Saccharomyces cerevisiae S288C: one gene and its partners. The protein of the gene in region 1 interacts with the protein of each later gene in a biochemical or structural test. Each region holds a gene or a part of one and is shown on either strand. Other genes may lie near its edges.

The links.
Region 2: the proteins of TAH11 (region 1) and CDC6 form a complex in vitro, tested with the Saccharomyces cerevisiae proteins (2 studies listed by BioGRID).
Region 3: the proteins of TAH11 (region 1) and ORC3 form a complex in vitro, tested with the Saccharomyces cerevisiae proteins (one study listed by BioGRID).

Annotation. Positions count from the first base shown.
Region 1 is NC_001142.9:520,386-525,681, reverse strand, and holds TAH11 (Tah11p), read right to left. Parts: upstream 3,635-5,296; coding exon 1,820-3,634; downstream 1-1,819. Other genes in the region: ANB1 (translation elongation factor eIF-5A), read left to right, coding at 301-774; Hsp70 family ATPase SSC1, read left to right, coding at 4,080-5,296. UniProt on the Saccharomyces cerevisiae protein: DNA replication licensing factor, required for pre-replication complex assembly. Faithful duplication of the genetic material requires 'once per cell cycle' DNA replication initiation and elongation.
Region 2 is NC_001142.9:66,719-72,014, forward strand, and holds CDC6 (AAA family ATPase CDC6), read left to right. Parts: upstream 1-2,619; coding exon 2,620-4,161; downstream 4,162-5,296. Other genes in the region: putative ubiquitin-specific protease UBP12, read left to right, coding at 1-851; fatty acid elongase ELO1, read right to left, coding at 1,132-2,064; YJL193W (uncharacterized protein), read left to right, coding at 4,648-5,296. UniProt on the Saccharomyces cerevisiae protein: Plays a crucial role in forming the pre-replicative complexes.
Region 3 is NC_001144.5:138,349-143,644, forward strand, and holds ORC3 (origin recognition complex subunit 3), read left to right. Parts: upstream 1-2,724; coding exon 2,725-4,575; downstream 4,576-5,296. Other genes in the region: SPO75 (Spo75p), read right to left, coding at 1-2,198; SFI1 (Sfi1p), read left to right, coding at 4,853-5,296. UniProt on the Saccharomyces cerevisiae protein: Component of the origin recognition complex (ORC) that binds origins of replication. It has a role in both chromosomal replication and mating type transcriptional silencing. Binds to the ARS consensus sequence (ACS) of origins of replication.

The DNA of each region.
Region 1 (5,296 bases):
TTGCCTGTTTTTTCGCCCTATTGTTCTCGAGCCTAAAAATTTTTTCCTTTCCTGCTTTCCTTTCTTCGTTCAAAGTTTCCTATTCCATTGTTCTCTTTGGTAAACTCATTGTTGTCGGAACTCAGATATATTCAGGTCAATTTACTGTACTTCAATTGACTTTTTTCTTGAAATTTCAACTTGCCTTTTCAACTTGTTCTTCTTTTTTAATCTTATTCTACACTTTAGTTCCCTTACCTTGTTCCTAATTATTGTCTAGCAAAAAGAAAACATACACCTATTTCATTCACACACTAAAACATGTCTGACGAAGAACACACCTTTGAAAATGCTGACGCTGGTGCCTCCGCCACCTACCCAATGCAATGTTCTGCCTTGAGAAAGAATGGTTTCGTTGTCATCAAAGGTAGACCATGTAAGATTGTCGACATGTCCACTTCCAAGACCGGTAAGCACGGTCACGCCAAGGTCCATTTGGTTACCCTTGATATCTTCACTGGTAAGAAGTTGGAAGATTTGTCTCCATCCACTCACAACTTGGAAGTTCCATTTGTCAAGAGAAGCGAATACCAATTGTTGGATATTGATGATGGCTACTTGTCCTTGATGACCATGGACGGTGAAACCAAAGACGATGTCAAGGCACCAGAAGGTGAATTGGGTGACAGCATGCAAGCTGCTTTCGATGAAGGTAAGGATTTGATGGTCACTATCATTTCTGCCATGGGTGAAGAAGCTGCCATCTCCTTCAAGGAAGCTCCAAGATCTGATTAGATATTTTAGATTTCTATAGCTTACAAAATACGCGATGTTTTTTTGATCTAGAAATCTTATTTATACATTTTATATAATATTATAATAATCATAATCATAATTATTCATCCTAACTAACTTCGTTCTGTTTCAGCTACGAAGTTGCCTTCATTATCGCTACGTTCGTGTTAATTGGTGTTTGATACCATAGTCACTTATGACGACGTGCAGAACTTTTTTTTTTGACGGATATTTTCCCCTCAATATGCCGAGGATGATTACTTTATAATTTGCCTTCTTTCGGTTCCTTCTTCTTTTTAATTTAGCTGACGGGAACATGTGTATATACCCCAGAAGAATTTAAACAGAAATTTTTTTGAGCATTTTACGAAAATATTAAAAACTAGGGCTACAGATATCAGAGAAAAAATTACTTATATGATGACAATAACTTAATATCACAGTCACTATCGTTCTCGCCTTTATATGCGCAGTGACAGCATTCGACTTTTCCTTGGAAGGGACCCGATCAACGAAACTTCAAAAAGAGTAGAAGTCAAAATATTTTTTGCACGACGAGGGTGACAGACCGTGCTATGTCCACAAATGAGGCCCTGCTTTCCCAAGATAAATTGCGTAAACATATAATTGTTACAAATCCAAGGCTCTGTGATTTCTTCACCAAGTGTAGTTGTGATGTATGATGTGTAGGATAAGTAATGACCGGTAAATCAAGCTGGTAAAAAGTCCTAATAACAAGCCCGAATCTGGAATAATGGTAATATTCCCATGCCAGGTGGACAGTGTTGTCCTTAAACAAACTCAAGAGATTAAAGGCAACTTGGCCGAGTGGTTAAGGCGAAAGATTAGAAATCTTTTGGGCTTTGCCCGCGCAGGTTCGAGTCCTGCAGTTGTCGTTATTTTTTATTTCCCTTTCTTTTCGTACATACACAATGCACAGTCTTCAAAGTAAAATACCAACGTATGTATCAAGATCAATTTTTTTTCTTTTTTTTTTTTTTTTACCGTAAATGTACGTATTCTACCTTATATCTAAAAATATTCTTCAATCTTGTTGTTTTGATTTGTGGATTTGCAACAGCTTAGAAAATCTGTTTTTATCCAAACTGTTCCATCTATAAACTTTTAACCCACCATCCACTTGATGAACAGATATGTCCATTGGTAGGATACCTTGTAGCCCAGCTAAAATTTCACTTGCTTCTTTTGTACCGATAGGATTATTACTATCTTGTAAACTATCTACGATTAGCGAGCTTAGATATGTCTCTGTATAAGGCTGGCCCCTGGTCAGCGAAAAAAGAATATCAAATACCTGAGTCATTTTCATCGCTAGAAACTGCTGGTAACGTTTTTGCCTTTGAGAAAGCAATGCGGCCGAACGTCTCTCTCTTTCACGCAGTCTGTCCATAAGGTTTGCTTGCGAATCAGGCATCTTCTCTTTGTACATGAAATTTTCCTTACTATTCGCCAAATATCTTGAGTTATTCAAGGCATTAGCATTAGAGCTCTTCGTTTGCACTTTACTGCTCAAGACTGTTTTAGAATTAGAGCTGGACCTTCTTTTATTTATTTTGAAAGCGGGTACATCAGTCATAATCTCATCCTTGGAAGCTATCACTTGTTGGTACCACGACTCTGCCCTTTCCACGAATGCCAAAGTCCTAGACTTATTGGTCAACGTTGTTAGATTGTCTCTTTTGGGTAGATTCATGGTCAGCTCCCCTCTAGAGTTCAGTTCCACTACGTATGCATCAGACCAAATGGTCAATAACTTCAAAATATCATCCTGCACTATTTTCCTTTTCATCATGCTGGATATCTGGGGTAACAAAACGTGCAGCTCTGGTGGGACGCCCGTGGATCTGGAAAGAGCGTTTAAAGACAATACAGTCTCGCAAACAGTAAACAACTCCTTAACAAACTTCATTGCGTCTTGGAGTCTTAGAATACTAAGCTCCCGTGGGTAGTATTGCTGAGCGACTTTTGGGAAAGCCTTAATTTGTTGCTCCAACAAATGATTGGCAATCGTACCCTCTCCTTTACTCGAGATTGGCGTAGTAAGTGGAGGCCAGATGGTCAACGAAACAATGTTCGCACGAGGATCTATCTGGAGTGGTGAGGTAGTGTGCATACCTTGAGACCAGCGCGCAAGGAGGGTCCCCGTGTGGAACAGAAGACAATCGGGTTCATCAATACTCACCCAAGAATTGTCCGTCGTCGCCATAGTCGATGGCTTGTACCTTATAGCCTTGGCACAGGGGAAGATGGTCAACACGCCCGTCGGAAGAAAAGTAACATAGTCCCTTTCAAACAGGTACTGGAAATCGTCGCCAGTGGGCAGCACGGTAGCACCTGCATCTGCACCATCGTGTGTACTACCATTATCATTGAAATAACGGGTCAGCTTAGTCGCATAATGAGAGGTGCTGATACAGTCTTGCAATTCTGCGCTAGAAACCACACTTTTCACACACAGTTGGGCGAAAAACAGACCCAGTTTGAACAGCCTACTATATATGGAGCACAGTGACTCATTCCTGCACTTCCGATCGAAGCGTAATTGAGGATCAGTGTCAAATATGTACTGCTCCAGCCAAACATCATCTTCTAGCGGTAATGTACCCGTAAAGTTCGCATCAAAACCTTGACTCGTGTCAGGCAGGTCCTTTGTCGTGAGCCCCGCTAGTAGTGCATCTAGAACAGCCTTGTTAGCATAATTTTTTAACAGAAAGGTGTCATGCTGTAGCAAAATTGCCCTCACCACCGGCAACAGCTGCTCTTCATCTGAAACTCTATTCAAATCTATCACAGGCACGCGCAAAACCTCCTTCCTCCTACTATTAGCTGTGCCACTCATAAATCACGACGCTACGTAGTTCAGCTCACTGTCATGATACCAACTACCGCAACTAACATCTGCTTATATTAAACTCTTCCGCATCATCGCAATGGTACAATGTGCTAAAGCTAGTGCCTTAGATGCGCTGAATAATTGTATATCACCCACAACGGCAGAGCTTTTCCATGGGCTTCGGCCCGGTTCCACCGCCCCCTGCCTCTTTTTCCGGTGACCGCTTACGGTGCGGTGTATAAAAACGAACGATCCAACGCCGGCTCGACGCTTGGGAACTTTTGGGTTCTTTGTTCCACGTTTGAAAACTCCATACGTTGCTGTCCTCCTCTGCCTGCTGTACATATCGACGCCCCGCTGCTCACCAACCTTTGCCAGAGTGACAACTTTTGTATTTACGACCCATTTAATATAATTAAGACTACACAAATCTCATATTATACGCACCAAGATGCTTGCTGCTAAAAACATACTAAACAGGTCAAGCTTGTCTAGCTCTTTCCGTATTGCCACACGTTTGCAGTCAACCAAGGTTCAAGGTTCCGTCATCGGTATCGATTTGGGTACCACCAACTCTGCGGTTGCCATTATGGAAGGTAAAGTTCCAAAAATTATTGAAAACGCCGAAGGTTCCAGAACTACTCCTTCTGTAGTAGCTTTCACTAAAGAGGGAGAACGTTTGGTTGGTATTCCAGCCAAGCGTCAAGCCGTAGTGAACCCAGAAAACACCCTATTTGCTACCAAGCGTTTGATTGGTCGTCGTTTCGAAGACGCTGAAGTGCAAAGAGATATCAAGCAAGTTCCATACAAGATCGTCAAGCACTCCAACGGGGATGCTTGGGTTGAGGCCAGAGGTCAAACTTACTCACCAGCCCAAATCGGTGGGTTCGTCTTGAACAAGATGAAGGAAACAGCTGAGGCCTACTTGGGTAAGCCAGTTAAGAATGCTGTTGTCACTGTCCCAGCTTATTTCAACGACTCTCAAAGACAAGCTACTAAAGACGCAGGCCAAATTGTTGGTTTGAACGTTTTACGTGTCGTCAATGAACCAACCGCCGCTGCCTTAGCTTACGGTTTGGAAAAATCCGACTCTAAAGTTGTTGCCGTTTTCGATTTGGGTGGTGGTACTTTCGATATCTCCATCTTAGATATTGACAACGGTGTTTTTGAAGTTAAGTCCACTAACGGTGACACTCATTTGGGTGGTGAAGATTTCGACATCTATTTGTTGAGAGAGATTGTTTCTCGTTTCAAGACCGAAACTGGTATTGATTTGGAAAATGACCGTATGGCTATCCAAAGAATTAGAGAAGCTGCTGAAAAGGCTAAGATTGAGCTATCTTCTACCGTTTCCACTGAAATCAACCTGCCATTTATCACTGCTGATGCCTCAGGTCCAAAGCATATCAACATGAAGTTCTCCAGGGCTCAATTCGAGACTTTGACAGCCCCACTAGTTAAGAGAACTGTCGACCCAGTCAAGAAGGCTTTGAAAGACGCCGGTTTGTCTACTTCAGACATATCTGAAGTCTTATTGGTCGGTGGTATGTCCAGAATGCCTAAGGTTGTCGAAACCGTTAAATCTTTGTTTGGTAAGGACCCATCTAAGGCCGTCAACCCAGATGAAGCTGTTGCCATTGGTGCTGCTGTGCAAGGTGCTGTCTTGTC
Region 2 (5,296 bases), 450 kb from region 1:
CCAAACCAGAAATACTAGGATTAACCGATTCGTGGTACTGCCCTACATGCAAGGAACATCGTCAGGCTACCAAACAAATACAACTTTGGAATACACCAGATATTCTGCTAATTCACCTTAAAAGGTTTGAAAGTCAAAGGTCTTTTAGCGATAAAATTGATGCCACGGTTAATTTCCCCATTACAGATTTGGATCTGTCGAGGTACGTTGTCTATAAAGATGATCCCAGAGGTTTAATCTATGACCTGTATGCAGTAGATAACCACTATGGTGGTTTGGGTGGTGGGCACTATACCGCGTACGTAAAGAATTTTGCCGACAATAAATGGTACTATTTTGATGATTCTCGAGTAACTGAAACTGCGCCAGAAAATAGTATAGCTGGATCGGCTTATTTGCTATTTTACATTCGCCGTCATAAAGATGGCAATGGATTAGGCAGCTCTAAACTACAGGAAATAATCCAAAAGTCACGCCACGGATATGATGAGCGTATCAAAAAGATATACGATGAACAGATGAAGTTGTATGAATTTAATAAGACTGACGAGGAGGAAGATGTTTCTGATGATATGATAGAATGTAATGAAGATGTGCAGGCCCCTGAATATAGTAATCGTAGTTTGGAGGTTGGGCATATTGAAACTCAGGACTGCAACGACGAAGATGACAATGATGATGGTGAGAGGACAAATTCAGGTAGGAGAAAGTTAAGATTGTTGAAAAAAGTCTACAAGAATAATTCAGGCTTGGGTTCATCGAGTACGTCTGAAATATCTGAGGGATGCCCAGAAAACGAAGTCGCTGATTTGAATTTAAAAAATGGTGTGACACTAGAATCGCCAGAATAATGACATGAGTTTATATGATAGATAAAATTAATAAATTTCCACATGTATAATACTTTTCAATCTTTTTCGCCTACTATTTACTGCCTAGGCTAATAAATTATATGTTTTTGTCCTGGGCGCGACATTCCAAAAAAAAAATAAAAAAGAAGAGAAAATACTGGCTTATGAATACAAAAATTACATAAACGAAGCAAAATGATTATTTCGAATAAAACAGTCTATATATAAGTCAAATACAAGATAGGAAGAAAAACAGAAAAAAACAAAACAGAAGGACTGGTTAATTGTTTTTGTTGATCTTCTTCTTACCACTAGCACTTCCACGTTTGTAAACCTCAATATAGAAAGAGATGAACAAAAACAAGTAGGATGTAAGAATGGCTGCACCAGCAGCAATAGCCGTCATTGAACCTAAGCAATCCTCACACTGTGGAGTACAAGCATTTTTGAAATATGCAGCAACAATCTTCTGATAAAGCACGTAATAAACGACAATGAGATCAAGCATGAACTGCACAATTTGTAGTCTTGTAACCCAGGCTTTCCACCAAACACGAATTCCGCTAGCAGAAAGGAAATAATACCAATACATAAGAACGTGAACAGCTAAGTTTAAGGTGACAGGAACCCATGTAACTGCTGTGTAACCAACCAATTGATTATAGCACAGTAAAGCTGTAGCACCATGATGGTATGTATGTAGGAAAGTCAACTTTCTATGTTTCAACACCATCAAGACAGTGTCTGCGAACTCCACAAACTTTGTCATATAGTTGAGATAATATAATGTCTCCATCGGTTGCGTCCACGATTCAACATTACAAACAGCAAAATACAGCCCATGGCGATACACTATGGGTAGCATCTGTTCCACCATCAAAATCAACCATAAAAAGGAAACAGAAGTCAACATCAAGTTATGGACTTGAGAAATAAATCTCAACTTGAGAGGTTTACATGACTTTACCAGGGACCTCCCGCCAAATATAACCACATAATACATGGCAATAAAAAGCAGTACCGGACGAGGTTCACTCAAAGGCTGCTTCCCAACGGTAAACTCAAAATCCTTTGGCTGGAAGCGACCTGCAGTGGCCCACCCAACCGCACGATTGAAATAGTCCCACAAATAAATATTAAAAAAAGGCCTATCTATTGTTGGGCGAAACCTAGAGGCTTTCTCGAGGCAAAAATTTTTCCAATCACTTACCATACTTGCTTGCAAATTTAGCTCTCAAGTTCCTTAAAATTGATAAGGTATCCTACCTTAATATTCATATCAGTTAGTCTTATATACTTCTACCTCTTTTTCTGGCTTCCTTTCTTTCCCTTATGTCCTTCGGTTTACTAATCCGTAAAGCCGACGCGGGTAAGCCAAGACCCTGAGTTTAGAACTAATATTTCGTCACGTCACGTAAGTGCAAGGTAATAAAAGCAGCAGAAATATCTGTAGTTTCAACAAAATATGTCTGGCTTGCGATTTGTTGTGTTTTGAAACTAGTTGCTAGTCTGCATTCCTTTGTTTTCCCTGAATTACCCAAAGAAGAAAGCGACGCGAGGCCTCACGCGTCGGAGTTTCCAGATCAGGAAATTACCCACTTAGGAAATTGAGTTGGCTGGCAGAAAAGATATAACGCCATCTTGAAAAATAGTATTAGTTAGTCTATTTTTTCATTTATATAGTAGAGGTATATTCTCTGGAAGAACAATTTTGGAATATTCAGAACACTGCGCTGCACTATTTTCATCAATAGTACCATATACGTTCATGTCAGCTATACCAATAACTCCAACTAAGCGTATCAGAAGAAATCTATTTGACGATGCTCCAGCAACGCCTCCACGACCTTTGAAAAGAAAAAAGTTGCAGTTCACAGATGTTACACCAGAATCATCCCCAGAAAAACTGCAGTTTGGCTCACAGTCTATTTTTTTGAGGACAAAGGCACTTTTGCAGAAGTCATCTGAGCTAGTCAACTTGAATAGCAGCGATGGTGCATTGCCAGCAAGAACAGCAGAGTACGAACAAGTTATGAATTTTTTGGCGAAGGCAATTTCTGAACACAGGTCCGATTCACTGTACATCACGGGTCCGCCTGGCACTGGCAAGACTGCCCAGCTTGATATGATTATAAGACAGAAGTTCCAGTCCCTCCCATTGTCGCTCTCCACGCCACGCTCGAAGGACGTGCTGAGACATACGAATCCGAACTTGCAGAATTTGTCCTGGTTTGAATTGCCCGATGGAAGGCTAGAATCCGTGGCGGTAACCAGTATTAATTGTATATCGTTGGGAGAGCCGTCCTCCATTTTCCAGAAGATTTTCGATTCCTTCCAAGATCTGAATGGCCCAACATTGCAAATAAAAAACATGCAGCATCTACAGAAGTTCTTAGAGCCTTATCATAAGAAAACTACGTTTGTGGTTGTGTTGGACGAGATGGACAGGCTATTGCATGCTAACACGAGCGAGACACAATCAGTTAGAACTATTCTTGAATTATTCCTTTTGGCGAAATTGCCTACTGTGAGTTTTGTGTTAATCGGTATGGCTAATAGTCTAGATATGAAAGATAGGTTTCTTTCCAGGTTAAATTTGGACAGAGGGTTGTTACCGCAAACTATAGTTTTTCAGCCATACACTGCTGAGCAAATGTATGAAATCGTCATTCAAAAAATGAGTAGTCTGCCCACTATTATCTTCCAACCGATGGCCATCAAATTCGCAGCAAAGAAGTGTGCTGGAAATACGGGTGACCTTCGAAAACTTTTTGATGTCTTAAGGGGAAGTATCGAAATCTATGAGTTAGAAAAGCGGTTTCTGCTTTCACCAACAAGAGGATCATTGAACTCTGCGCAAGTTCCTTTGACGCCAACTACTTCTCCGGTAAAGAAATCGTATCCAGAACCACAAGGTAAAATAGGCTTGAACTACATAGCCAAGGTCTTCTCAAAATTCGTGAACAATAATTCTACGAGAACGAGGATAGCCAAACTAAACATCCAGCAAAAATTAATTCTTTGCACCATAATTCAATCACTGAAGCTAAATTCCGATGCTACAATCGACGAATCGTTTGATCATTATATCAAAGCGATAACAAAAACTGATACTTTAGCACCATTGCAGAGAAATGAATTTTTGGAAATCTGTACAATTTTAGAAACTTGTGGGCTGGTTTCAATCAAAAAGACAAAGTGTAAAGGGAAAACCAAGAGATTTGTTGATAAGATTGATGTTGATCTCGACATGCGAGAATTTTATGATGAGATGACCAAAATTTCAATTTTGAAACCTTTCCTTCACTAGTCAGCTAATAGATTTATTTTTTCTTTTTTTTTTACAGTTCCACTTGCATCCCTCATTTTTCACATTCCTTTTTTTATAGAAAAGCATATCACTATATAAAAATTCTATTATAGTTGTAACAGCATAGCATATTATAGACTTTTTTTTTCTGGAAACGGTTAAACCGTTTGGCTGAGATGCAATGATATACGCAACATTGCATTCAAAGAAATTGCAAAAAAGACACAATAAAACGTAATTTGTACAAATATTTTACTATCATTAGCTACTGGATGCAGAATGGATGATTGTTAGGGGGAGGTGGGGTACAATTGTTTGTTTTTGATACATTTTCTCTTTCAAATCGCAACCAATTCACTCTGCTAATGTGATAACAATGGCGCCTGTCGGAAAGGTGAAAAAAAAAAAATGCAAACAAATAAATTGGCACGGTGTGACATATGCCTTCTATAATAATGAAGGAACTCGAAGAAAAAGGGGAAAACGATGTTTCAACAGCTGTCGGCATCCATTAGGCACAATGCACACATAATTTTTTTATGCATAAGTTGGTATTTTATTTCATCGTTGGCATCTCAGGTAACGAAGCAGGTACTAACGGTTTGCCCATTACCACTTTTTTTGGGTGAGTTTCAGTTCATTTATACTGCTGTGCTAGCATGGTTTACGTGTTATATTGCATATAGTTTCCCAGGATTCTATCGCATATTTCCTAATGGTACTTTTCCGGAATATTATATCGACGACAGAGAAACTAGCCGTGCAGCTAGGAAAGAATCAAAACTATCCTCCCTCATTATACCGCCCTCTAAACCAATCCTGCAAACAGTTCTACCTTTAGGTCTTTTCCAATTTGTAGGGAAATATTTTGGGCATACAGCTACCTCTTTGGTGCCTGTTTCCACGGTTGCAAGTATAAAAACGCTATCCCCCATGTTTATCCTTTTGCTCCAAAAGATTTTGAAAATATCCACTTTGAAAATTACTTTAACTCTTATCTTTAGTTTATGCACTTTAGTTCTTGGAGTTTGGATTATAGTTCAAGAAGATAATCGTTCACCGGCCTCTTCCAATGAGCTGAGAGAATTCTCTAAATACGGCGTAATATGCGCTATGATATCAATGTTCATTTTTG
Region 3 (5,296 bases), on another chromosome or scaffold:
AATTGCATAAGGGCCTGTATGTACAATTTACCGAACGTTTCAGAATAGTTCTCTTTGTTATATTGGTATTTGAACAAGTAACTGAAAGAAAAGAAAACCATCGAAAATGAGATGCAACATAATAATAATATAATAGGAGCAACAACACTGTATATGATACCAATACAGCCCAACACTGAGAATATAGGATAAATAGATCCTAGTTGGAAAAATAAAGATGTCTTTAACCTCTTAAATTGAGCATGTGGAGTACTCCTTTTCCATTTATAGTAGAACAATTCAAAAAGTAGCTCTTTTATTCTTAACAAATTACCGCCTGCATAAGCCATTCCCCTAATCAAAACAAAAGAACAGAAAAAGTTTGCGCATTTAGGCAAGTCGTTGGCCAGGAGAGCAGGGATACTGACAGGATTGTTAAGAAGCCTCTCAATAATTATAGAAAATCCAGAAGATATTGTAACAACTACGAAAAGATGAATGAAGACAAAGACGAAATACCAATTCTGGACATCAGCTTCTATTTGCGCTCCAGTTTTCAACCCTCGAAGGTAACTCAGCCAACGGAAAAAGTAGGGTACGATTTCTATTATTATTATTAAGGTTACTATTGGAATCAAATTCTTTGCCACTTCTCTTATAAATGGAGATTGGAAATGAATTATTTTTGTAAACGGTATTAGTGAGGAAATATTTGGTATTTGTGATATTAACCCAAGGAACGCGACAGGCAAAATCCAGCCTATAATCACAAAAATTCGCAATATATTTGCCGAGAAATATTTGGCACTTTTCCAAAGGGGTGATGAATCGAGGATATTTCTCCAAATAATGTCATTAACATTGGGGCCTATTATTACTTTTAAATTTTGGGTGGGTAGTCTATACGAAAGCAACTCACCTATAACGTTTGACAATAATGTGGACTTGAAGGTAATGAACATCTTATCCATATAAATGTCTGTGCCCGACGATAAATCGTCGGGCAGTGCCTGCTTGGTTTCTGAAGTTGCTTTCAAGGAATTTACTTGGAATTTAATGAGTTTTTCCTTGCGTATTATTTTATCAAGGATTCTGTATTTCCTTTCTAATATTGTTTCTGTATTTACATACAGTTTAGGGTAATATAACGGAAAGATGCTTGACTTTTTCCAGCGCAGACGAATTTTTGTGCAATAGTATGAAATTCTAAATTGAGTTAAAAATACCAATTTTTTGTACTGAAATAATAGATGGTTTTTCAACTTTGAAAAGAAAAATCTTTTGTGATTTGCTATCAAATGCCTGTGTATTGAAACTCTTCTAAAATATTTCTCTAAAATAATCTCAAAGATAATTTGTTCTTTTGATTTTTGTAATTTATTTAACTTTATTTCTAATTTGTGGACTTTCTTCAAATTTTTTGGAATGAAATGCGTCACGCCAAAGCAATCACTGTGTAGCGGCTGAAAAAAAGTTTCTAAAGAAATACTTTGGGTAACCAATTTACTTGAGAATCCTTCCAAATATAGAATGTTTTGGTATTTACTTTTCGTCAAAACGGAATATCCTAGTCGATTAACGAACCTCAGTTCCGAAGAAAGAATGAAGTGAAACCAGAGTACAACAAAGATACTCAAAAACAAGTGACAGATTAAAGTATTCGATGAATTAGGTGATAGATTTGACATGGTCCACTTGTCAAGTTTACTTGTCGTCCTGAAACTTTGCTCATAACGTTCACCTTCATTTTCTTTCAAAATATCCCTGGAAAAATAATGGATTGGAATTAGTATTGGAATGTTGATAATTGATAACACTGCAAAAAAGAATATCAAAAGTTTGAGAAACCGTAAAAATAGATAATTGTCTAGGCCATACCTTTCGTTTCGTTCGAATTTTTCCATAGGATCTAACATTCTTCCGGGAAGTTGCTTGAGAAATGCAAATAATGACCAATAATTTTTTATTTTTTTCTTAGCAAAACAAACTTTAGAACCTGGATGGATTTTCAGAACGACATTGGCCTGATATATAGTCTTGAATCTTGATCTTAAAATAATAAAGAGTGACAGCTGAAATAAAAAGTACAAAAAAGAAAACAATATACCAGATATGAACCCTTTTAGTGAGATTCCAGCATGTCTTTGCGCAGATCCAAATCTTTCTTTGTCTTGAAATTTATTCAGTAAATTAAAAGTCAGTTCTTTAGTAGCATTCATCTTCTTGGTAAGTCTTTTTCTTGTTTTTGAAAAAGAGTTCCTGAAGTTTGTCTACTGTGAATATACTTTGCACATTTGTTTAATTTTTAAACACGCTATAATTTGTGTCATAAAGAATTTTTTGTAGAATAGCTTTTTTTTTAATAGGAAAAAAAAATAAAAAAAGGTGGAAAAGACAATCTTTTCCAGAAACTTGAAACTATACTGGAGATGAAGGGTTGTCGTTGGTTGCGTTACGAGACAGGCTTGACAATTTCACAAGAGTAATGTTTCATTACCTGCTGTTTTATTATCTTTATATTTAGTAAGACCAGCAGAAACGCTACACGTGATGATAATGGAACTAAGCATTCTGTTAGATGGTAAGAATTTTTTTTACCTTCCATTACCACTAACGCCTTTTTTAGTGTCTTTTTGATATTTACTGACGTATTTTTCCGCACCGTAATTTGAAGAAAAAGAAAAGTGACAAAAGATGGCATTGTTTACATACAGAGTCGTAGTATCACAAGAGTAGTCCAACAGGATGAGCGACCTTAACCAATCCAAAAAGATGAACGTCAGCGAGTTTGCTGACGCCCAAAGGAGCCACTATACAGTATACCCCAGTTTGCCTCAAAGTAACAAAAATGATAAACACATTCCCTTTGTCAAACTTCTATCAGGCAAAGAATCGGAAGTGAACGTGGAAAAAAGATGGGAATTGTATCATCAGTTACATTCCCACTTTCATGATCAAGTAGATCATATTATCGATAATATTGAAGCAGACTTGAAAGCAGAGATTTCAGACCTTTTATATAGTGAAACTACTCAGAAAAGGCGATGCTTTAACACTATTTTCCTATTAGGTTCAGATAGTACGACAAAAATTGAACTTAAAGACGAATCTTCTCGCTACAACGTTTTGATTGAATTGACTCCGAAAGAATCTCCGAATGTAAGAATGATGCTTCGTAGGTCTATGTACAAACTTTACAGCGCAGCTGATGCAGAAGAACATCCAACTATCAAGTATGAAGACATTAACGATGAAGATGGCGATTTTACCGAGCAAAACAATGATGTATCATACGATCTGTCACTTGTGGAAAACTTCAAAAGGCTTTTTGGAAAAGACTTAGCAATGGTATTTAATTTTAAAGATGTAGATTCTATTAACTTCAACACATTGGATAACTTCATAATTCTATTGAAAAGTGCCTTCAAGTATGACCATGTTAAAATAAGTTTAATCTTTAATATTAATACAAACTTGTCAAATATTGAGAAAAATTTGAGACAATCAACCATACGACTTCTGAAGAGAAATTATCATAAACTAGACGTGTCGAGTAATAAAGGATTTAAGTACGGAAACCAAATCTTTCAAAGCTTTTTGGATACGGTTGATGGCAAACTAAATCTTTCAGATCGTTTTGTGGAATTCATTCTCAGCAAGATGGCAAATAATACTAATCACAACTTACAATTATTGACGAAGATGCTGGATTATTCGTTGATGTCGTACTTTTTCCAGAATGCCTTTTCAGTATTCATTGACCCTGTAAATGTTGATTTTTTGAACGACGACTACTTAAAAATACTGAGCAGATGTCCTACATTCATGTTCTTTGTCGAAGGTCTTATAAAGCAGCATGCTCCTGCTGACGAAATTCTTTCATTATTGACAAACAAAAACAGAGGCCTAGAAGAGTTTTTTGTTGAGTTTTTGGTAAGAGAGAACCCGATTAACGGGCATGCTAAGTTTGTTGCTCGATTCCTCGAAGAAGAATTGAATATAACCAATTTTAATCTGATAGAATTATATCATAATTTGCTTATTGGCAAACTAGACTCCTATCTAGATCGTTGGTCAGCATGTAAAGAGTATAAGGATCGGCTTCATTTTGAACCCATTGATACAATTTTTCAAGAGCTATTTACTTTGGACAACAGAAGTGGATTACTTACCCAGTCGATTTTCCCTTCTTACAAGTCAAATATCGAAGATAACTTACTAAGTTGGGAGCAGGTGCTGCCTTCGCTTGATAAAGAAAATTATGATACTCTTTCTGGAGATTTGGATAAAATAATGGCTCCGGTACTGGGTCAGCTATTCAAGCTTTATCGTGAGGCGAATATGACTATCAACATTTACGATTTCTACATTGCGTTCAGAGAAACATTACCAAAAGAGGAAATATTAAATTTCATAAGAAAAGATCCCTCCAACACCAAACTCTTAGAACTAGCAGAAACACCGGACGCATTTGACAAAGTAGCACTAATTTTATTCATGCAAGCAATCTTCGCCTTTGAAAACATGGGTCTCATTAAGTTTCAAAGCACCAAGAGTTACGATCTGGTAGAAAAATGTGTCTGGAGAGGAATTTAGATAAAGAATGCACGGATAAATAAGTAAATAAATAACCATACATATATAGAACCATAGAACCACGTTTTTGTAATGAACAGTCTACCTGTATCTCATCATTTTTCTGTGTTAACTATTATTATTATTATTATCGAATGGAGGGTAATATTATGTATAGGTAAAATAAATAGATAGTGCCATGATGCGCGAAGATTGGCAATGGGAAACTCAAGAAGGCAGCAACAAAAAAATAAAGGTGGCCTATTAATCACAATCTATTGCCTATATGTGCTAGGTTATGGGCAAATTCGGCACGACAAATAAATCAACGGAGAATCTTCTGCGTGATAAATTCGTACCCGAGACATCTCCAACTAATATTCCCACTGATGTACTCATCAAGCAAGGGCAAATAACGGATTCCACCGAATCACTAATTCATGGAGGCGCAGAAAGGTATATTGTTAACGCTTTAAAGCCTATAGAATTAAATAAAACTGAAGGCTTTTTCGAAGACCCGCCGTTCCATCTTCCTTCTCCACCGGTTGATTCGACAAATCTGGAGTATGAAGACGTTACCGATCTTCCTAAGAATGGTTTACGATATGATTTGAATGATATATCCGTTGAGGTAATCGAAGATTTATACCGCCAGATTGAAGCTTTTTTGGTTCATTTCAAACTATCCAGAAGTTTTTTACAAATTTTCAAAAACTATGTCAATATTCTTATTCAAGAAGGC